Regions from separate parts of the Mus musculus genome. Here regions 1 and 3 are each reported to be linked to region 2. Evidence: microRNA targets listed by miRTarBase, many of them from high-throughput screens and not tested one by one. Region 2 holds a microRNA gene; each other region holds the end of a gene's coding sequence.
The links. The annotated mature microRNA mmu-miR-450b-3p reads AUUGGGAACAUUUUGCAUGCAU and lies in region 2 at 2,471-2,492, shown strand. An mRNA with a match to its seed (bases 2 to 7 or 8) in the 3' UTR can be bound and repressed. Matches are read on the target gene's strand: a 7mer-m8 pairs with bases 2 to 8, a 7mer-A1 pairs with bases 2 to 7 and ends in A, and an 8mer does both.

Region 1: miRTarBase lists Mbp as a target of mmu-miR-450b-3p. The part of its 3' UTR that is shown has no 7-base or 8-base seed match.
Region 3: the mRNA of Cds2 is a reported target of mmu-miR-450b-3p. Seed matches in the 3' UTR shown: 7mer-m8 at 703-709.

What each region holds. Positions count from the first base shown.
Region 1 is chr18:82,583,755-82,590,948 of GRCm38, reverse strand. It overlaps Mbp (myelin basic protein), which reads right to left. Exons shown (of 7, transcript NM_010777.3): 7 at 5,312-6,837. The coding sequence ends at 6,793. Among named protein-coding and RNA genes, the nearest start is that of Gm52337, 15 kb to the right of the region's middle.
Region 2 is chrX:53,043,306-53,050,499 of GRCm38, reverse strand. It overlaps Mir450b (microRNA 450b), which reads left to right and starts at 2,422; the gene lies at 2,422-2,503. Mir450-1 (microRNA 450-1) reads left to right here and starts at 2,256; the gene lies at 2,256-2,346. Mir450-2 (microRNA 450-2) reads left to right here and starts at 2,133; the gene lies at 2,133-2,201. It overlaps Mir542 (microRNA 542), which reads left to right and starts at 1,013; the gene lies at 1,013-1,097.
Region 3 is chr2:132,304,066-132,311,259 of GRCm38, reverse strand. It overlaps Cds2 (CDP-diacylglycerol synthase (phosphatidate cytidylyltransferase) 2), which reads right to left. Exons shown (of 13, transcript NM_138651.7): 11 at 6,782-6,901; 12 at 6,304-6,407; 13 at 1-6,107. The coding sequence ends at 5,975. Among named protein-coding and RNA genes, the nearest start is that of Gm46766, 44 kb to the right of the region's middle.

The DNA.
Region 1 (7,194 bases), not on the chromosome of region 2:
CACGGAGCTACAAGAGTATTCAGCAGATACTCATGGTCTGGAAGTGATAGCGAGTCCCAGCAGTTTGTATGATAGTTCACAATGGAGGGCAGTCCAGTGGAGTGGAGATGGGAGAGTAGGGTCCCTCCCCTGCCTCATAGATACCTGGTGAGCATGCATAGCCTTCTGACCTTGGCATCTGATTTACACTGTAAACACTGGTGTAAACCGTATGGCCAACAAGCAATGTATCCTTGGCTGCACATTCTGATTGGTCGTTTTTTTTTTGTTTTTTTTTTTTTTTTTTGTTGGGGAGGAAAGGATTTATTCAGCTTACACTTTTGACATTGCTGTTTATCACTAAAGGAAGTCAGGACTGGAACTCAGGCAAGTCAGGAAGCAGGAGCTGATGCAGAGGCCATGGAGGGATGTTCTTTACTGGCTTGCTTCCCCTGGCTTGTTCAGCCTGCTCTCGGAACCAAGACTACCAGCCCAGAGATGGCATCACCCACATGGGGACCTCCTCCCATGATCACTAATTGAGAAATCCTTACAGCTGGATCTCCTGGAAGCATTTCCCCAACTGAAGCTCCTTTCTGTGATAACTCCAGCCTATGTCAAGTTGACACAAAACTAGCCAGTGCAAATACCAAAGTCCACTATGCTCTCAACATTCTACCCAGCATTTGAATAATACAAAGACCATCTTTATATGGTGCACAAAAGATCACCCTAACGCTTGTGCATGCAAACTAACTAAACAAGTTATAACTTAGCTATACCCTCAGCCCCCAAAATAAATGCTTTATATTGGGATAATTTATTTCAGTTGCCTTTGCACTTAGGAATCTATATATGCATGCATAGTGGTATTCTCACATGATTGACCTTAAAGATAGTTCTCTTAAGCATGCATCTGATTGGTCGTTCTTACCTAATATCACTTCATTTGCCATTCCAGTGACTGTTCAAGGTCTGCAATAGGCAAATCCCAATATCAAGATGAGGCATTGGTACTGTAGAGTCTTAGCTCCCAGTGTGGGGTTGAGGAGAATAAGAAATACTTGGGTAAAAATAAACATGCATCATTATGGCTGAATGCTGCTGTTCCCATTCATGCCTTGAGTGTTAACTACCACTGTTACTATGTTTATGAGACAGATGGGGCCAGCATTGGGCACTGGGCAGGAGTTAAGAGCCACTAAAATAATTATTGTCGATGGAGTTCTTAAATTTGTATATTAAATGTAGTGTGTGTGTGTGTGTGTGTGTGTGTGTGTGTGTGTGTGTAAACACACTGTGGAAGTCAGAGTGCAAATTTCAGTCTGTTTTACTCTTCCACTATGGAGTCCCAGGGGTCTAACCAGATTGTCCTGCAGGACAGCAATCACTTTTACCTGCTGTGTCATGTCCCCAGCTCAGTAATGAGTTGTTGTAAGCATTTCTTCTGACATTCATTTCCCTACAGTGAAGACACTGGGGGATGGGCTAACTTGAGTACCTAATTAGTTCCTGTCCCAGCTACTTTGACTAATGGGACTGCCAGTTAAATGACCAATAGCACTATCTTTATGGCTAGCACCAGTCAGAAGACATCTAACGGCCCCAGTTCCTGTAGGTATATCCTCAGCTGGGCTGTTTGAAGCAGTTCACACCAGACTTTTGGCTCTGAGGAGCCTAGATGAACCTCCCTTGACACAGCAATCAGCCCCAGCTATGCCGGAAGAGGAACACTGTCCCTGGTGGTTGAGCTGGGGAATAGCTTCATTGGTACTGAGTGAGTGGTCAAACCTCCACCTTTGTGATTGGAGCTAAGCAGAGCCCTAATCCTGGCTGGGTGTTGAGGGCTGGGGAATCTTGCCTTCTTACACTCACACAAGTCCAATACGTGTTTCTCTCATATTCTTGGATGTGTGGTCTTCCACTGGGGCGTGGTCAACTCACCAGAAGCAGCACTCTAAAAGAAAACTGGCTCTCCCTTTCTTAGCAGCTACCACTAGGCTAGGGCTGGGAAATCTCACACCACCTTTCTCCATGCCCGGGTTTTGTCTGGCTTGTGTGTGTGCAGGCTTGTGTTTCTATCCATAGATGAGTGCCTCTCTCAACCCATCAGAGAAGCTTCTCTTTGCAGCTGATGGCATCTTGGTGTGGTTTCTCTTCCTGTGATAAAACACCATGTGTAGGCACATATTTCTCACAATCTACTTTTATAAAGGTTCAACTTCCTCTCTAGCCCACCACCCACCAGAAGTGTTGGAGTCCACCAAAAGACCCTCACTCACAAAAATCACAGAGACCGACATTGTTGCAAACCACAGAGTTTTTTTTTTTTTTTTAATTATTCCAATGCATTGGGGCCTCCCCCCCTCAGCACACAGGCAAGAGGAGAGACCCTGAACAAAAAAAAAAAAAAAAAAACCCACACTTTTTATACCTTGTAGGGGGCAGATTTAGGCAACAGGGCTAGCTGGCTTATTCTAATTGTTGTAGCAAGTGTAACCCTTTCAGGCATTGGTTGGTTTGCATGGGGTGACTACCTTTGGCCTAGTCCCTCACTCTGCCTGCCCTTAGGGTTTTTCTCAGCATTGTTTAGTCAGCCAGCTTCCTTATCTGGCTCTGCACTTGGCCTGCTAGTACAGTTTGGAAAGTCCCTTCAGAGGGGGAAGGGGCTGGGTGGTCTTGAATTTATTTTGGATTCTACAGAAGTAGTGGAGAAGAAATGTTATTGTGATACAAGGGAAGTGGACATGTTTAGAAATAGTTCTTTGGGGGCGATTTCAGTCTTCATTATTCAGCGGCTGCATCCAGTCTACTTGGCAGACACCACACACAAATTAGCAAGGGCAGTTCAATACAGAAGAAACCCTCAAGGATGGCCAACCTGCCCAAGTCTGTAGAAGTAGCAAGAAGCTTCAGGAACCCCACAAGAGGTTCTCTGGCGAGTTTCTGTCTATGAAGGCACCACAAGCTTGGCTCAGCAATGCAATGTAAGGTGAGCCGATACATGTGTGTCATTAGGGAAGACTAGTGAGGTGGGCAAGTCAAACCAACACTCGAGCTCCTACTGTTTGTGGGGTCAGGGTTACATTCCTTCTAAACACCACACAGCCTTTCACGTGTCTGCTTTAGCAAAACATCCTTTCACCTGTGTGCCCCAGCAAAACATCATCTGACACGACTGACTTTCCAAAGAGACCAGAAGTTTCCTCTTCAACCATGACCAAAAACAGCTTGGGGAGGAAAGGGCCAATTTCACCTTATAACTTACAAGTCCATCATTGAGGGAAGCTAGGAACTTGTAGGCAGGAGCTGGAGCAGAAGCCATGGAGGGGTACTGCTTACTGCCTCGCTCCCTGTGGCCTGCTCAGCCTGATTTCTATCCAGGATCACTTGCCCACAGTAGGGAGAACCCTACAATATCAATTATTAGTAAAACGCCCTACAGGCTTGCCTACAGGTCAATACTATGGAGGTATTTTCTAAATTAAGATTCTCTTTCTCAAGATATGGTTAGGGTTGTGTCAAGTTGACAAAACCCAACCAGCACAGGGTGATGAGTGCAGAGACCCACAACTGGCCATGGTGCAGAGACTAAAAGATGGCAGAATGCTCTGCCCTAAATGGGAGATGGATGTTATATCCCTTTCTCCCGCAGCTCATGGTTCATTGCAGGAGAGATGGCGAGATGGCGGAAAGACTTTAAAATAGAGCCAGGGGTGGTGAGTGACCACGGTGGAGCAGCTGCTCCTATGAGGTTATGGAGATTGCGGCAGCAATGCATCTTTAAACAGTGCACACATCTTTGTATTTCCAGATCCTTTATTTGGGAGGATTTTGTTGGCTAAAAAGGACAAGGAGATGATTGGACATCAGCCTTTTGTTATCTTTGTAAGATTGTAAAAATATTTTTATGTGTGTGAACACCTGCCTGCATGTATGTGTGTGTGTGCTTATCTAGTGTATGCCTGTGTGTATGTGCATCTCGTGTGTGCCTGCATGTATGCATGTGTATCTTGTGTGTGCCTGCATGTATGTATGTGCATCTTGTGTGTACTTGCATGTATGCATGTACATCTTGTGTGTGCCTGCATGTATGCATGTGCATCTTGTGTGTACCTGCATGTATGCATGTGCATCTTGTGTGTGCCTGCATGTATGAATGTGCATCTTGTGTGCACCTGCATGTATGAATGTGCATCTTGTGTGTACCTGCATGTATGCATGTGCATCTTGTGTGTGCCTGATGCCTGCGGAGACCAGAAGAAGGTACCAAATTTCCTGGAACTTTAGTCACACACTATTGTGAACTCCACGTGATTGCTGGAAACCAAACCCAGATGCTCTGCAAGAGCAGTCAATACTCTTAATGGCTGACCAACTCTCTAGCCCCTGGTGGGTTTTTGTTGTCTGTTTTGTTGTTGTTGTGGTGGTGGTGGTAGTGGATGTGTGTGTGTGTGTGTGTGTGTGTGTGTGTGTGGAGACAGGGTTTTTCTGTGTCCTGGCTGTACTGGAACTCACTTTGTAGATCAGGCTGGTTTCAAGCTCACAGAGCTCAACCTCTGCTTCCCCAGCGCTAGGATTAAAGGCATGCATTTTTGAGACAGCGTCTCTTGCTTAGAACTCATTACATAACTTTGGCTGGCCTCAAATTCATGCAATCTCCCGCCCCCACCTTGTGAGTGCTAGAATTATAGACGTGAGCCCCTGAGCCCTGGAGGTAAGGTTTCCCGTCAGTCAGTGGACCCCAGGAACCTGCACTGGTTCCCTGTGCTGGAACAACATGCCCCAGAGAAAGACTGTAATGTTGGCCCATGGCAAGCCTTCCTCCCACAGCTCACAAATCTGATGGTTTTCCATAGCCTGCCTTGGAAACTCAGAAAGGGGCCAGGAGCGCTCTCAAAACCAACAGGAGAAGAGATTTCGGGTAATCCTTTAGAAAAAGAAGTCTCATAACCAAAATCAATGGCAAGAGAAACAAAGGACAAATGGGGGGAGGGGGGAAGAATGCTTCACTTAATCCCCGTCCGCCGTGGATAAAGCGCGTGACCCGCTTTTCTGCAGTGTTTCCTAGGACAATGGCTTTGAAAAGTGTCCTCAGAGTGACTGAAAATCCTTTTCCTTGTGTGTTGTGGGTCACTGTCCCACATCACCTCTACTCCATCTTCTTGATTTATCAATGCATGGCCTCCTCAACGTGCCCCTTGAGGTATTCTCCCAAGGGCACCGTGAAGCAACCCGGTGCCCCTGAGGAAGAGCCCTCCACCCTGCGACGAGGCTGTGCTTCACTCGGGCTCACGCCTACAGGCTGCCGTGCAAAATGAGACACCTGGGCAAAGATCATTGCAAGTTTATTATTTTATTTCAATATTCAAGAATAGTAGGTGCTTCTGTCCAGCCATACTGCAGCTGCGCTGTCTGGACGAAGCCATGGGCAAGGTCGTTCAGTCACACTGGAGGGCAAACACTCCCGTGGGACAATCTGGAGGGTTTTTTTCTGGAAATTTCTTCCCTGCTTTTTCTCTTACCCTCACGTTATTGTGGCGATACATTAATCGGTGTTATCTTAAACCCACACTCTACTCAGAGTTAGAACAGATTAACAAGATGCAGTATTGGGCTACATCAACCATCACCTGCCTTCCTAGGGGTGACGGTGCCAGTGTGGGGCTCTTTGGAAGGTCTACAGAAGGCATGCTAAATCAAAAGACATAGTACGTTAGAGGGATAAGGAGGTGTCGATGGACATTATTAGACTGGGGTTCTCAGCTCCTCATCCCTGGAGCGTCGCCCAGGCCAGCCCTGCATCCAGGGCAGCGACTCGATTCAGTGACAGGAACCCCCCTAAAGCTAAGAATGAGTCCTTTCTAGGAGGCAGGGAATGGTTATTTTTCCACCGAGGTTAGTGTGTACCAATGGGCACTGCCATGGCGAGCTGCCGCTGACCACCCCACCATGAGAAGTGGCCAGAGGGACAGCACGAGGCCACCAGAGAACTCCTGCAGTCCCACTTCCAGATGCGCCATGTCCTTGGACTCTCCCTGGGCTCTGAGAGGAAACAGGGTTCTTAAAAGCACCAGCTCTGGGGAGCCACTGAGGAGAGATGGTGACATTTGGCGGCCACACATATCTCCAGCGTGTTCTCCTAAGTCCCCGTTTCCTGTTGGGGCCATTGCCCAGCCCACTCGCCCCTTTCCTTCCCTCTGCCACGCTCGAAATCAGCTGGTGGGGTGCAGGGGATAGCTGGCCTGGAAGTGTCCCCAGGGCCACCCCACTCTGGACTCTCACAGCTGCCCAGCCTGTGCTCACATACCACAAGCCCCCGTTGTATAAGCCACTCCAAGACTGTCTGATCCTGTTAGGAAAAACAAAGCTCTTTAGGGGGAAGAAAACAAAGGAAGCCTGGACCACACAGTCCCCTGCGCCATGCTCTCTGGCTCCTTGGCGGTGTGCCTGTCTATCCGCAGTGCCCACGGAAGCTGGAGGGGTGTGCCTCACCGTGAAAAGTCTGAGGATGGAGTAGGGGTGAACTTGGAAGGGTGTCCGTGCACCTGAACCTCCGGAGTCGAACAAGGTGCACGGGGAACAAGTCAGGGCTGAGAAGACCCCGAGAAAACTCAATCTTCAAACGAAAAGGGACGAATAGTTTTAACCAGTCGGGGTGCCGTGGGCCTGGCCCCACCGCGATCACGGCTCCACGGGATTAAGAGAGGGTCTGCTCTAACTAGCTAATCGGTGCAAGTAGAATTAAAAGTTTAAGGCAGTTATATTAAGAAGCCGAGGGCAGGATTCGGGAAGGCTGAGCGGGGAGGGCTCTCAGCGTCTCGCCATGGGAGATCCAGAGCGGCTGTCTCTTCCTCCCTGGGAAAAAGAAAAGACAGGAGTTAGGCACAAGCCTGTGTAGCTGCGGGGCGACACTTCCCCTCCACAGTGCTGGTTCTGTGGTTGTCCAATCACAAGCTGTTCCGGCGGGAAGTGATATCCCAGGACACAGAATATTCCCTCGATTTGTCACACCGCCTGCAGAAAGCCCTAAGTGGAGTTTGTAGCTTAAGGCAAAGCCCCTTGACCGTGAGCCACAGGGCGTGGCTAGGTCTAAGGCGCCCACAGCATTGCCTTTGCAGGGAGAATGCTTTAGCTTCGTTATCTTGCTCAAAACAAGCTGCTTATTTTCTCTGCTAGAAGACTGAAGGCAGTTTGGGGCTGGGATCACTGTCC
Region 2 (7,194 bases):
CAAGTCGGGGGCATTGTTGGGGGCTGGGAATACTGCTTGCTTTGCAGCCTGACTCCTTCCTTCGGGTCTTTTGCTACCCCTCCCCCACCTCCACTCTGCAGAGTGAAGGCAGAATGTTTGTGCCCTAGAAACCAAATCTTTACAATCCTCATCTCAGCACTTGCCTTCATTTCCTCTGTTCACTTACGGCCCCAACTGCTTTCATAGATTTGTTGTTTACAACTTTGAGAGATAAGTAAGGCAGACAAAGTTTCGAGAGACCTGAGGATTCTGAAGATGAAACCTGGGAAACTGCATCATGCAGACTTCATGCTGTGCCAGGTAACATTCCTGCCTGGCCATCAGAAGCTTACACCATAGTGATTAGGACAGAAAATGGAGCTGAACTAGTGTGTTTGGTTAGAAAAGGTCTAGTTGAAACTGTCTAGTCCTAAGAAGGACGAGTGAGAGTCTAACTGCTGGACACTTCCTAACTGAGGCTCAAGATTGACTTCATGATTAAGTAATGACTGTAAGTCACCTACCCATGCATGATTCAATGTGTACAAGCTTAAAAATTGTAAAGTGAATTCACTTTAAAGCTTTGATCCTTTCTATAGACTCAAGTAAATTAAGGGAGCAAATATGAACTAACCATAGAGATTAATTTAGTGGCATCCTCAAAAGAACGTTTTTAGTCATTGTGAATAATCATAAAAACTACCTAGAAACTTAGAAACATTCTTAAGATAACAAGCTTTTAAAAATCAAGGCCACAGAATTACACTAACTCTGGTGGCTGAAAGTAGAGTAGAAACTGGAAAGAAACTGCAAAACAAAGAGACTTTTTAAAAACAGAATTTGTAGTAGGTTGGTTAGCTGCTTATTTGTTTTGTTTTTTTTTCCCCATCTTCACAGTTTTGCTGTTTCTTTGTTTTGTTGTGCTTTGATTTGTGTCCCATTGTGAAATGCTACTCGCTAAAAGGTCTTTAAGGGTACTGGGAGATCCAGAAATTTGAGGTTACACATGCAGGGATCTCAGACGTCTCGGGGATCATCATGTCACGAGATACCACTGTGCCCTTGTGACAGATTGATAACTGAAAGGTCTGGGAGCCACTCCTCTTCCTAAGAATTGGTGGGGTGAGTATTACAGAGATGAGAGGTCAGGAGAGGACTGAGCCCTAGGCAAGGAGGAAAGGGGTTGCCATGGAGTGGGGGAGGGTATGGGTTGTGTTTTTATAGAATGAGAAGGGTTTTATTAATTTGCATTTCTATTCAGTCCACTGAAGCCTAGACAGGACATATGGTTTTATATATAGGCTAAAATATTAAAACTATGTTTTTCCTCAAACAAGAAAAACATTAGCTGTAAGCTTTAGAAAAACAGGTTACCTTAAAAATGTGGAGTCATATAAATAGCCATGAAGATAAATATACAAGCCACGGAAAGTCACGGAAAATGAAAAAACATCAGGATGTTTATTACTATTTATTTATTTATTTATTTATTTTTGAGGCAAGATCTTATGTTACCCAGACTCAAACTTGTGTAGCAGAGGCTCATGTTGAATTCCTTCCCCTCCTAATTCCCCCTCCCAAGGGCTGGCATTATAAGTGTATGCCATCATACCTGCTTGCAATTCTTTTTTTTTTTTTTTTTTTTGAGACTAGGCCTCACTAACTTGCTCATGCTGGCTTTAAATCACTCTCTAGGCCTGCCAGGAGGAATCTGCATCTGTGGCTCATTTGCCTCACCATCTATGTCACTGGGGTTACCACCTCCCTTCACTTCAGTCATTTTGAGGATAAAATGACTTATTAATAGTAAAGGGTTGCATAAATAAAATATGCTCTTCTAAGACAATGTGATAGGATGCTATCATTAAGATTGATATTTCTGAAAATAATTTTTGTGACATAAAGATGTGCCACAAACACTAATAAAAAGCGTTTAATGATAAACATGCAAAATATTTTCTTCTCCGTTTTAATTTTACATACATGGGATCAATATACAGATATAAGGCTAAGAGAACAGATCAAAATATTATAGTTATCCTGAGTTGTGCTTTAATGTTATTGAACAAATATGCTGGGGACTGATGCTGTGGTTGAATGATAGAGGAAGGAGAAAGGCAAACCAAGATGCTGAACTATTTTTGCGATGTGTTCCTAATATGTACTATGAGTATATTGGGGATGCTTTGCATTCATGGTTCTGCATCCATCATATGGACAGTCACCTCCAAGCTGTAGCACCACCAGTGACCAAAGAGAGATACTGAGCTGTTTTTGCGATGTGTTCCTAATATGTGCTATAATTATATTGGGAACATTTTGCATAAATAGCTTTGTGTCAATACACAGGCAAAAGGTTGGAAGAAAGAAGCTGCAAGTCTAACCATAGTTGTTTATGGTTTGTTTTTATAATAGGAATCAGATACAGAATTATTTTTGCAGTATGTTCCTGAATACATAACATAAGCGTATTGGGAACATTTTGCATGCATAATTTTGTATCAATATATGGGGGGAAGACTAGGAAGAAACATGACAAAACTTGAACAGAACTTATGTCTCTGGTATTACAGGTGATGTTTATTGTTGTCTTTATATTTTTATTGTTTTTTTTTACCAATTATTGTGTAAACAAAATGTTTTTCTTTTATAGCAAAAGAATAAACTTATTTTATTTTAGTACTAGAGTCTACATTGATTTTGGAGGGTGGGGTGGGACTTGAAACAAGGTCACCTAATGTAATTAACTGTGGCTATAGCCTCAGTATATAGTGAGGCTGGCCTCACTCTCATAGAGAACTAGTTGCCTGCCTCTGCCTCCCAGAGTGCTGGAATTAATGGCAAGTGCCACATACTTGGCTTTACACTGATTTTTTTTTTTTTTTAATCGTGAAACCCTGACCCATGTATAGAGAAAGATTTCTATGCAGGCAGTGGTTGGCCTAGACCACACTTTCCAACTTGTCTAGGAAAAGCCTACAGGACCACCATAAGGTCTGCCCTTCATACGTACATGTGCGCAAAAGACTCAAATACACTTTTTAAAAACTGATAATTATATTTGAGTTTTCGGGAGGTAGATCCTTAGGAATCTAACTGAATTGGGGAGCCCCAGGTCCCAGTGAGAGACCTTGTCTCAAAAAACCAAGGTGGGGATCTCTTGCGGAATGATATCTGAGGTTGACTCCTGGCCTCTATGCATTCACACACATGTCCAAGTATAAAAACACATTTACACACACAAACATCACACACTAAAAGAAAGAAATAAAATAAAAACACAACTGTAACGGCCAGGTGTGGTAGCTCAAGCCTTGTAATCAGAGCTCCAGGAGCTGGGGGAGGGTGTTTGCTCTCACTCTGTAGTGAGAGCCTCTCTCAAACCTCTGGGTCCACACAGAGTAATACCAGTGACTGCTAAGCAGACCGATGGCTCTTATCTAATCAAACACTCTAAACACAGAGAGAGTTGAAAGGGGCTTATTTTCTCCCAGGAGCAATTCAGGAAGGTGGCACTTGGATGATTGCTCCTGGCCTCAAGACACACTGGCTAGTTTGGGAAATGCCTGAGCCAGGGAAAGACCTTCCAGAAGGCCCACTCATGAATGACAGATGCCAGCAACTGGCTGTAGTTCCCCATCTACTGTCCATCCATCTAAATCCCTGGATGTTCCTTTGAGTACAGGAGACCTCCCAGTTCAGCTTTCCCTCTTCTTTCTTAGTAAGAGAGATGGAACTATATCTGGGGACTTAGTACAACCATGGTTTGACTGGTTCCTCTCAGGAGTATTTTTGGTTTCTTGGGATTTTGTTACTGTTGTGCCATTTTATTGGCATTTGTGGGTATGTGAGGTGGAGGGCTATGTGCACTCTGACTCACTTGTGGACATCACAGGACGTGTGGGAGTCAGTTTCCTCCTTCCACCATGTAGATTCCTGGGATTGAACTCAGGTCCCTTAGCTAAGGGGCAAGCTCCATTACCCACTGAGCCATCTTGCTATCCCCTCCTAAAGGCTTTATTAATGTTTCTCAGATTTGACACATTAGAAGAGGAGCTAGAGTCCACTCTGAGCCATTTATAAACACTCCAGGAAAACTCTCCCCCAAGAGCTAAAGCACTGTAGCAAAATCCGTATATTCCCTCAAGCAGACCTAGTGCAGTGGGAGAGATGCAGTCATTCACAAAGGTACTGGGAGATCATTCATCCCACAGAGCCTCACGCCCCACCCGTCTGCTTTAGAGCAACCACACAGCCAGACATATCCTTGGCAATGGGTTTTTCATAAACATTTGACTCTGCCACATTTAGTTAGAAACATTTTTCCTGGGAAGGGAGGATAGGAGAGAAGTGGGAGTTAAGATGAACCGGAGCCAGAGAGACTTTGGATGCACAAATCCCTTGCTCTGTATGGTTGAAAGCAGAAATAGGCAGGGTCTTGTGACCTTCTTCCATGCCAGGCCCAATCTCACAGAAAACTTCCTTCTACCCTGAATGATGAAAGCGACCTCCTTCCACATAAACCTCACTCTGGTCCTTGCTAGGCAAGGATTATGAAAAGGGAGAAGAGCCAAGGTGGGACCCTTCCTGAAATGGGAAGTCTCACCTCTGGGGCGGAGAAAGTAATAACTCCATCAATTTAATCACTGAGCTCCAGGCTCTCTCATTTAGCAGTGGACTAAAGTGGAGACTTGCATTTCCGAATCAGAATATCCTAGAATGTGGCGGATGGAGACAGCATGCCTCTTAGTTGGGAGGATGCCAAGCGGCCCCCGGAGTGGGGGTGGTGCAGAAGGGGGGAGGGTTTCCCTTTCTAACAAACCAGTCCTCCCTCGGTGCTCAGAAGAGGAAATGCAGTTGCAGGGAGAGGAAATAACTCCCAGCTAAGTCTTGCAAAGAACTGGTGGCCAACTTGAGTCTTGATCTACAGGCCTTTTTCTACTATAATACACTGGACCTAAAGGACAGACAGGGGTGACTTTAGAAGACAGTGGGAGGCATGTGGGACTTGAGGAACACCTTCAAAGGTGGGTGGGGCTGGAAGGGCCAGAGAAAATGAGGGAGTGAATTTCAAGCAGAGGAAGATGACAGGGGCACAGGCAGAGGCAGGAACAGATGGCTTCTGTCACAGAGCAGTCAGGAGCGTCTGGAGGAACCTGTCAAGGACAAATCCAGTTTCCAAATTCGGGCTGGGCTATACCCTGAGGGTGGAACTGTATCTTGGGGAGTGGGGAGTGCAAAATGCCCCCAGAAAACGATGGCACGAATTCCCAGAATGCAGACTTGATTCAGTAGTGAGAGATAAATTTACAGCAGTTTCTCTATTCAAAGAAGGGCAGATTAAAAAGAAAAAAAAAGCAGCTAGGCTCTCAAAGACCATTTCCAACTTTTGTATTTGTCTTGGGCTTCTCCAGCTCCTACCAGGCCAGCTTCATCCCGAGGGGAGAATTCAGGCCCCCAACTCCAGACATTTGGCTTTCCATCTGTTACTGCTGCCAAGGCTCTAGCCTCCAGGTCTTGTAACAGTTTGGGAAGGGGCTCTTTGCCTTCATAATATATCCCTCCCCGATCATAATCATGAGACTCTGGAAAAACTGTCAGTCATAGTAAATAGCCAAGCCTCTCCCACAGGACTCCAGCAGACAATCCTAACACCTTTTCCTTTTTCTATTGATTGGCCTAGAATCAGTTCATGTGACCGTAGCCTAGCTAGTCAGTGTACTTGCTACGAATAGGTGGTGGTAGTGGTGGTGGTGGTGGTAGTTGTGCTGTTTTGAGGATTTTGAAACAGGATCTCACAATGTAGCTCTGGCTAGTCTTGAACTTGCTATTTAAACCAGGCTGGCCTCGAATTCAGAGATCCCCCTGCCTCTGCCTCCCAGTGCTGGGATTAAAGGCCCAAATCACCATGCCTGTCTTTAGATTTGTATCTGTCCATTAAATACTGAATCAGAGAATCTCTCTTTTGGGGGGCAGTTTTTACCTGTAGAATTGTATCTAGCAGAGTCCTCCTTCTCATCTCTGAATTCTTGCCTCAGTTTCCTCTTTTATAGAATGAAGATTTGACAAAGTGGTCTATCTTGCTCACCACCATAGGACAGAAAGACAAATGGCACAGAGGACAGTGGCAATGATAGAGAGTAGAGATTCGAGAGGGAGGGAGAGAAAGCAGAGAGAGGGTTAGGAACGAGAGAGGGGAAAATGGGGGAAAGGGAGAAACTGAGTCCCCAGACAGAAGCTGCCCTGTGGTCAACTCCACTGTCTCTGTCAGTTGCTACAATGTGGTTTAGACTTCTTTTAAAAACTACTTTATAGCCCGGCAGTGGTGGCCCACACCTTTAATCCCAGCACTTGGGAGGCAGAGGCAGGCAGATTTCTGAGTTCAAGGCCAGCCTGGTCTACAAAGTGAATTCCAGGACAGCCAAGGCTATACAGAGAAACCCTGTCTCGAAAAACAAACAAACAAACAAACAAACACCCAAAAACAAAACTACTTTATTCGTTCATTCAACAAACATAACTGCCATGCTCTCCTGTCCAAGGACTAAGCAGGTTGGTCTTGCTTAATTTCTGAGGTCAGGAAAGTGGAGGGATACATAGCTGTAGTGTAGCCGACCAAGCACTTTCTGTGGTAGGCTCCATTCTGGGTCCAAATATGGAAAGGAACCAAGGTGTTCTTTCCAGACCTGCTTTCCTGCTGCATAAGGGCTAGATGGAACAGTGGTGCCTGTCAAGTAATAAAAGATTTGCTACTATAAGGACGACTAAAAACAATCTCTGGGTGAAGATTACCCAGAAGAATAATAACACATTCCTTCTAAATGTCCAGATTTGAAATCATCCCTGTTCATTGTCAGTAAAAATCGAAAAGCCAAAGAGTTTTGTTTTGGGGTTTGGGGACTTTTCAATTTTTAAAAAAAAATTATTTTATTTTATTTTATAGCTGTTTTTACCCACATATATATATGTGCACCATGTATATGCCTGGCTCCTGCTGAGGTCAGAAGAAGGCATTGAATCCCCTTGAACTGGAGTTTCTGATGTCTGTGAGCCACCATGTTGGAGGTGGGAACAAAACCCAGGTCCTCTGTAAGAGCAATAAGTGCTATTGAGCCATCTGTCCAACCCCTTGTTTGTTTGTTTTTTCGGTTGCATTTTGTTTACATTGTGTGAACAAGTGCATGCGTGTGCATG
Region 3 (7,194 bases), not on the chromosome of region 2:
CCCTTTCTACCTTGGTGTCCCACTGAGAAAAGCCAGTAGAACCAGAATACAAACCTAGGGGTGCGGGAAAGATACTCTAGTAAGGAAAACAAAGGGCTAAGACGGTGACACCTAAAAACACAATGTCACTTAGGGCAGGTGGCTGTGTGGTTAGGCCTTTTAACACTGTACTCAGGGAATCCAGGGAAAGCCTCCAAGAGCTATGGAGCTGAGTCTGACCAGGACCTGGGAGAGCAGCGCCCCAGGACCTCTGCTGGCATCAGACTTTTCCCTCCAGATAAAGGACTGCCTGGTCCATCAGATGGGGGCAGGGCTGGCAAACACAGTGCAGAAAAACAAGAGGAGCTGCAGTATCTGAACTCCAGCAATAGGCCTCAGTCTCGTTAACACCTGGGACACTCCTCAGCTGGAACACAAGTTCCTAGACACTACTAACAGAGTCTGGGAATCTCCTGGGTCATGTGAGCCAATGCCACTCAATCAAGGTGAAGCACACACACACGCGCGCGCGCGCGCGCACACACACACACACACACACACACACACACACACATACTCCCAACTCCCTGTGTCCATTCAGAAAACTGAATTAAATCTAGAACAAACATTCACATCACCTGTCCTCAACGGTCACTTGCTCTAACCTGTTCCTTTAAGAAAGAAAACCCAGGTGAAGGTGGCGCATGCCTTTAATCCCAGCACTTGGGAAGCAGAGGCAGGCAGATCTCTGAGTTCGAGGTCAGCCTGGTCTTCAGAGCAAGTTCCAGAACAGTCAGGGCTACACAAAGAAACCCTGTCTCAAAACAACAACAAAACAAAACAACCCAGACAGACAGACGGACGGAAGAGATGGAATGGCTGTGCTGTCAGACACAGGCAGCTCCTTTAGGTTTGTGGCTGAGGCACTCAGCTTCAGGCTTACTTTCTCTATTCTGCTCTATTCTGCAGTCGTCCATCCGTGGAGGAACCGAGGGTTCCTGAGATGTACAACAGACTACAGAACGTGGCTGGGGAGAGCAGGGTCCAGAGCGAGCCAGGCCCCAGGAGACGCCCCACCATGTCAGAGCAGCCAGCCCTTTTCCTGTGGGCAGTCTCAACCACGGGGAAAAGAACAGAAGTGACAAACAGCCTCACATCATCCTTCAGTCAGGCTGGCCTCAATGCTGTGGGCTCTTACCACTGCACCACTGAAGTGCTTCTCTTGGGAGGACAACGTGCTCACTTTACAGAACACAAACACCAACTAGGTCCAAGCAGTGAAGAGTGTGGTGGCTGAATACCCAGCAGCCCACCAGTGTGGGCCAAACTCGCTGAGCTCAGTTTAAAAGAACAAAAAAACTACCATTTATTGAGTGCTTACTATGTGCCAGGCACCTTGCTAAATGCTTACATGCGTTAGCTCACTAAATCCTCACAGCGGCTGGTTGGAAGTGAAGGCTGCCCGCAGCCTATAGCCTGACCAGATAGAGCACTACCTAAGCCTCAAGTCTTTACATTGTTCTCAATCTCTAGCACAGAACTTCAGTTTTCCCATCTGTAAGATGGGCTAATACCACCTCGCCAGAGCTGCTTGTGGATTAAAGGAGATAATGCATGCAAGCCCTTGGCACTGTGTCTGGCACATATTAAGCACTGTATGATTGCAATCATTAGTAACACACTGTTGCTACTTCATTAGCTGAAGAGTAAGATAAAGAGCCAAGCAGAGAGTCACCTGAAAAAAGGAGAAGTGAGGACAGGGTCTTCAAACAGCCAATGGATTTGAGGATCACTGGCCATAAAACTCTGGCATATTGTGCCCTTCTAGACTCAACATCGTCCCTCTGTCCTAAAGCCCTAAGAGGTCAGCGTCCAAAGCACACCCTCTAAAGGGCCCCCAACACCAGGGTCTTTTGACCTTTGCAGAAAAATAGAGAGTGGCTTGCCCAGGAAAGCAGCAGCCCAGTGATAATGGCCTCCACCCACAGGACAGCACAGAGCCCAGGTAATGTCGCTATATCAACCTGAAGAGAGGGAAGCTAGAGTACATAGAAAGGTGGACCGCATTCTCCTGAGCATGGACTCACCCTGCAAGAATATGAGTGGACTACCCAGGACACAGCAGATGAGCCTAGCAAAGCCTCAAATAAGAACCCTCGTCTGCCACTTGCCTAACCCCGGGCACACCCCTGGAAGTGGCCCACTCAACAAAGACTGAGTCCGGAAGCAGAAGCTAATACTCTTTAAAGATGCAGAGCAACTGTGAGGAGAGTGATAAGGGGAGTCTTTTACCCAAGCGGAGGAGTCTGAACCAACAATTAGCCTCCTCTCCAGCAGCACACAGCTCCTTCTGGGAGCTCCAGACAGAATGCGCCCATAGTTGACTGTCTTCTACTGTGTCTACACCAGGCCCCTGGCCAGCCTCTTAGGCCTTCCTTCTCATCCTGCCATGGAAGGAGCAAGAACCCTGGCTGCACAGGGACCTGCCCTCCTCCCCATCAAAGCGCAGCACGCACATAAGCACAGTATGCAGGAGTGGTAGGCACAGCCAGGAATTACTCTAAAGACAAAGGCAACATGGCCTTAGACGTTACTAACACAAGTTTCAGTTGTGACATCACACACTGGTAACGAGGAAAAGGCTTTCCTGGAAATCTACCTCAGGCTGACTCCACGAGGAACACTTGACTGCCACACAGAACTTCGCGTGAGATGCTCTGTCCTGAGTCCTTAGGTCCCTCCTCCTCCCAGCTCCATCAACAGCAAGGACTGACCTTGGCTTGCCAATCGGTGAACTGAGGGATCCCTTCAGAGCAGGTCCCAGCCAACCCAACAATTAGGCCAACATATTCTCTTGAAATGTCCTGCTCAAGTTTTCTTGTATAATACAGGCTAGGTTACAGGATGAAAGCAAGCAGGGGCAAAATCCATAAAAACGGTTCCACAGTCCACCTGTGTGAGATTACATGGTATATTTCACACCTCTGGACACCGGCTCACACACACTACAGCACATTAAGAATACATTTTAAATGCGGTTATAAAGCAGAAACTAAAAGTCTGAGAATGTGAAATAGGCTCTGTGTGTGTGTGTGTGTGTGTGTGTGTGTGTGTGTGTGTGTGTTTGTACATGCGTGTGTGCACCCTGCACATTCTCTCCCAACTTCCTTATGGGACTTCACTTTCAGAAGACACAATGGGAACTTTTTTGACACTGAAGTGGTTAAGGGGTGAGAAACGTACACACAAAGGGAACACAGTTTTCCTGAGAACGACCATGAGTAGAACTCACCAGGAAGACACCCTGGCTTGTTCTCATGTCAGGCTGGTTTCTGGGACCAAATCTTTACTTCACCAGTTCTAAGCTAACAGCCATCTAAGCAGTGCCCAGGACTGGCCTGGTCAGGGCTCCAAGGCCTGCAGGAAGGAACACTGCAGTATTTCCCGGGTTGGGGCCTCGGGGAGTAGCTACTAACCCTGTCCCACAGGCACACTTTGAGATGGGGACTTTATGGTTCCACCCCATGGCTCTCACCTGAGACATCTCAGAGGCTGTGAGAACAGATGGCACACAGGCTGGCAAGCAGGAAAACTGCACAGTGTTTATGCTCACACAGCGGGAAACATAAAACCACACAACAAGTGACAAACACGGGACTCCTGACAAGGAAAAGCACGAACACTTTATTTCTGACACAACAAGATGAGTGTAAAGCAAGTTATGTGACCCACTGAGATCTGTGCGGTGCTGAGAAAGCAGTCTCTGGGCCTGCCTGCTTACTGGAACAAACAACACGCTATACAATCACAGGGTGGCACAATCGCAGGGTGGCACTGTTCTCCTGGCTACCTGACTGGGAAATTCTCCTCTTTCACAAGACTGGAGAACTCAGAATAGAAACCTGTGGCTGGCAGCTCCAATGAGCACTGGGTTTCAGTGTCTTAGGACACCAGCTTCCTCAAGCCTCAGCTGCTGCTGCCCGAGCGTGAGTTTTGGCTCCTGGGGCGCTGGGGTGTGGTGTGCCCTTCTCTACCTAGTTTAGTGATCCAAGGCCATTTTTCTATCAGAAGTGCAGTGTTGCTCCTAATCTCCACTGAGAATCTTAAGGAGCAATTGTAAAATACACCTCAGTGTATTTCCTTTTCCGGGTGCCCATGACATGACTTAATAGCAACAGGGGCTGAGAGTGACACGACCGTCTCCATGGAGTTGCCGAATTGGTGAACTTTGAGGGCAAGTCAGAGGACAGCCCTAAGGGCAAAGCTCCCACTAGGGGCCTCATGGCCAGAACCAAACTGAAGGCAGCAACACTGTGTTCAGTGCGGCCTGGGAGCTGAGAACAAAAATCCCCAATGCGGACAAGTCAGTCAAAGCTGAGAGACAAGGAGCTGCCCGCCCCGCCCCGCCCCCGTGCGCACAGCGGACACTCTGAGGGCTGGCTGAGTGTTGGAGGCCACAGGAAGACTAATCTGAAAACAAATTAGCACAGACCACGGTACTTGGGGAAGTCACTGCAGCCTCTCAGCGGTGGGCACACCGAGCAGGGCTGTGGGTTAGTTACCACTCTTGGGGAATAAGTTCCTTCCCTGCCAACTGCTCCTTTCCATGTCAAGCTCAACCTATTAGGAAGGGAAAGAATCACAGCTTACACAAACCCCAGCAGAAGGTCCCCAGGAAAGTACAAACTACAGCTACACCGGTCACATTTGATAAAGTGGACACTGAGTCTTGAAGAGCCAAGCCTCTTGACAGATTAGGCCGGCCACAGTTCTAAGCAGGATGTAGGGATTCTGAGGACGTTTGGGTATGACTAAAATCATGTAGGAAACAAGGTGACTTTTAAACAGACACACATACGCTCATCTCGAGAATACTATATACACAACACAGCAGCAACACAAGTGGGCTTCCAGGCAAAGGGTGTCTGAGCAAAAGTCCTCTGCTCCCCACCTCTTAGGGCTCCCCCAGAAGGACTCAGCACAGCAGCAAACCCGCGGCACAACCACAGAGGCCTCGACTCTAAAAGGTGCGGTCTACAGGACCACCCTCTAGAGGCCACTGTGCCTGGCTGGGGCAGAGAGGGCTGGGACAGTGCCCCCTGCTGCACACATCTGGAATATGTAAGGGCTTCTTTTCCATACTTCATAAATTCTTCATGCTTTCTGAGAAAAAGAAGTCTGAAATCTTCTCTCAGTCTATATGGTGAAAGCAAACTACATAAGCAAAGCTCACCTGCCCTCTGCAGAATTTTGGCTTGGACAGATGTTCATCTGATCAGAAAGCCTCTCCCTCACAGCTCTACAGAGGGCAGCCCCCACTGCTCTCACAGCTCTACAGAGGGCAGCCCCCACTGCTCTCACAGCTCTACAGAGGGCAGCCCCCACTGCTCTCACAGCTCTACAGAGGGCAGCCCCCCACTGCTCTCACAGCTCTACAGAGGGCAGCCCCCCACTGCTCTCACAGCTCTACAGAGGGCAGCCCCCACTGCTCTCACAGCTCTACAGAGGGCAGCCCCCACTGCTCTCAGACAGAGATGCCTGCAGAAGCCCCAACGAGAGGTGTCAAGGACAGCAAAAGCGTGGAGCCCGTGAAGGCCCGTGCAGGTGGGAAAGCCCTCAACTCATCACACACAGATCAATGTATGATCTCTCGCACAGCCCAGAAACAACTGGATGGGCAGGGGTTAGAGCCACCAAGCAGACACCCTGAGCTGGGCAACACTGCCCTTCATGTTGCTCAATACTTGTACTTCAGAAACCCAAATGGTTCTTTCCTGTGACTTCTTTGCAACTCAAAGCTACAGCTTACTCACTGCCCACACTATAAACAGACAGTATATACAGATTAAAAACCACACACGCACAAAAAGGAAAAAGAAAAAAAAATGACGGTGGTGAGTTGAAGCTTTTCATTATCTAAGTCACAGCAGCTGGGCGGCCTTGGCGACTGGCCCCCACTCCATCCTGCTCCAGCTCTCTGGGCCCCAGGTGGACTCTACTCATCTTCCAAGGCAGATGTCAGAATCCCCTTGTCAGTTAGGTGAGACTTGAGCGTGTTGAAGATGTGAAGCTGCTGATCTGGCCGCAACGTCAGAAACTGCTGGATCAGTTTGCTTGGGTTTGGACCCCTACAACAGAACATAAGGCACCCCTGAGCAGGGGCCAGCTGCCTCGCTGGCCCAGTTACCCATGGGGTGCTATGAGCCCTGGATTCACTATTAGTGGAGGGAGAGAGACCTCAGAGGATTTGTAAACACTCATGCTTTCAAAGCCCACTCAGCTGGATCCGGTGGAATATCTGGATCCGGTGGAGTAGTTCCGCACCTGATAAAGCTGGCGATGTACACATTGACAAAGGTGGCCATCAGGTACTGGCAGTCAAAGCGATCCATGATGCCTCCATGACCGGGAATGGTATTGGCAAAATCCTGTTAGAGGAAAAGGAAGGAAGGATGGGCCTGGGCTCACCAACAACCAAACTCCAGACTAATGGATCCACCCATGACCAAAACCCTGCTGGGCAGAGAAGGTGATGGACAGAGGCATACAACCAAATGCCCAGGTGATCACAGGACAGGACTGCAAATTACAACGCGGTCTCTGGTTGAAAGAAGCACTAGCAAACCAGATACTTGCACTTTCATTTACTGTCCCCCAAATTCAGCACATGGGTAAAGAAAAGCACACAGTAAGTGCAGGGGCGTGACCTGGTATGAGGGGTGCAAGCTGATGGAGCAGGGCGGGGAAGAGATGGGCGACCAGGAGTGAAATGGGAGAGGCAGGTGGGGCAGAGTTCCCCTACTTTGATTTTAAAGGCCCGTTTGAATCCACTGGCGAAGAACCCTCCGAAAGGGCCGATGAGCGAGGCGAAGGTGGAGAGGGCGATGCTGTGGATCTGGAAAGGGTACATCCTCACCGTTTTCTGAGGAGAAGGAGTGGAACCAAAGTCAGCAAGTGTGCATGTCTGGCTTCTTACAGTTAATTCAGAGCTTCATAAAACAAGGTCTCCATTTTTTTCAATCAACCAAAAGACTGCAGGGCTGGAGAGTTGGTCTGGTGGTCAGGACCACCTGCTGTTCCAGCAAAGAACCTGGGTTGTTTCTAACACACATGGTGGCTCACAACCATCTAGAACTCTATTTCAAGGACACACGAACACACTCACCCAAAACATTCATACATCTAAAGAGACTGAGTATTAAAAAAAAAAAAGGA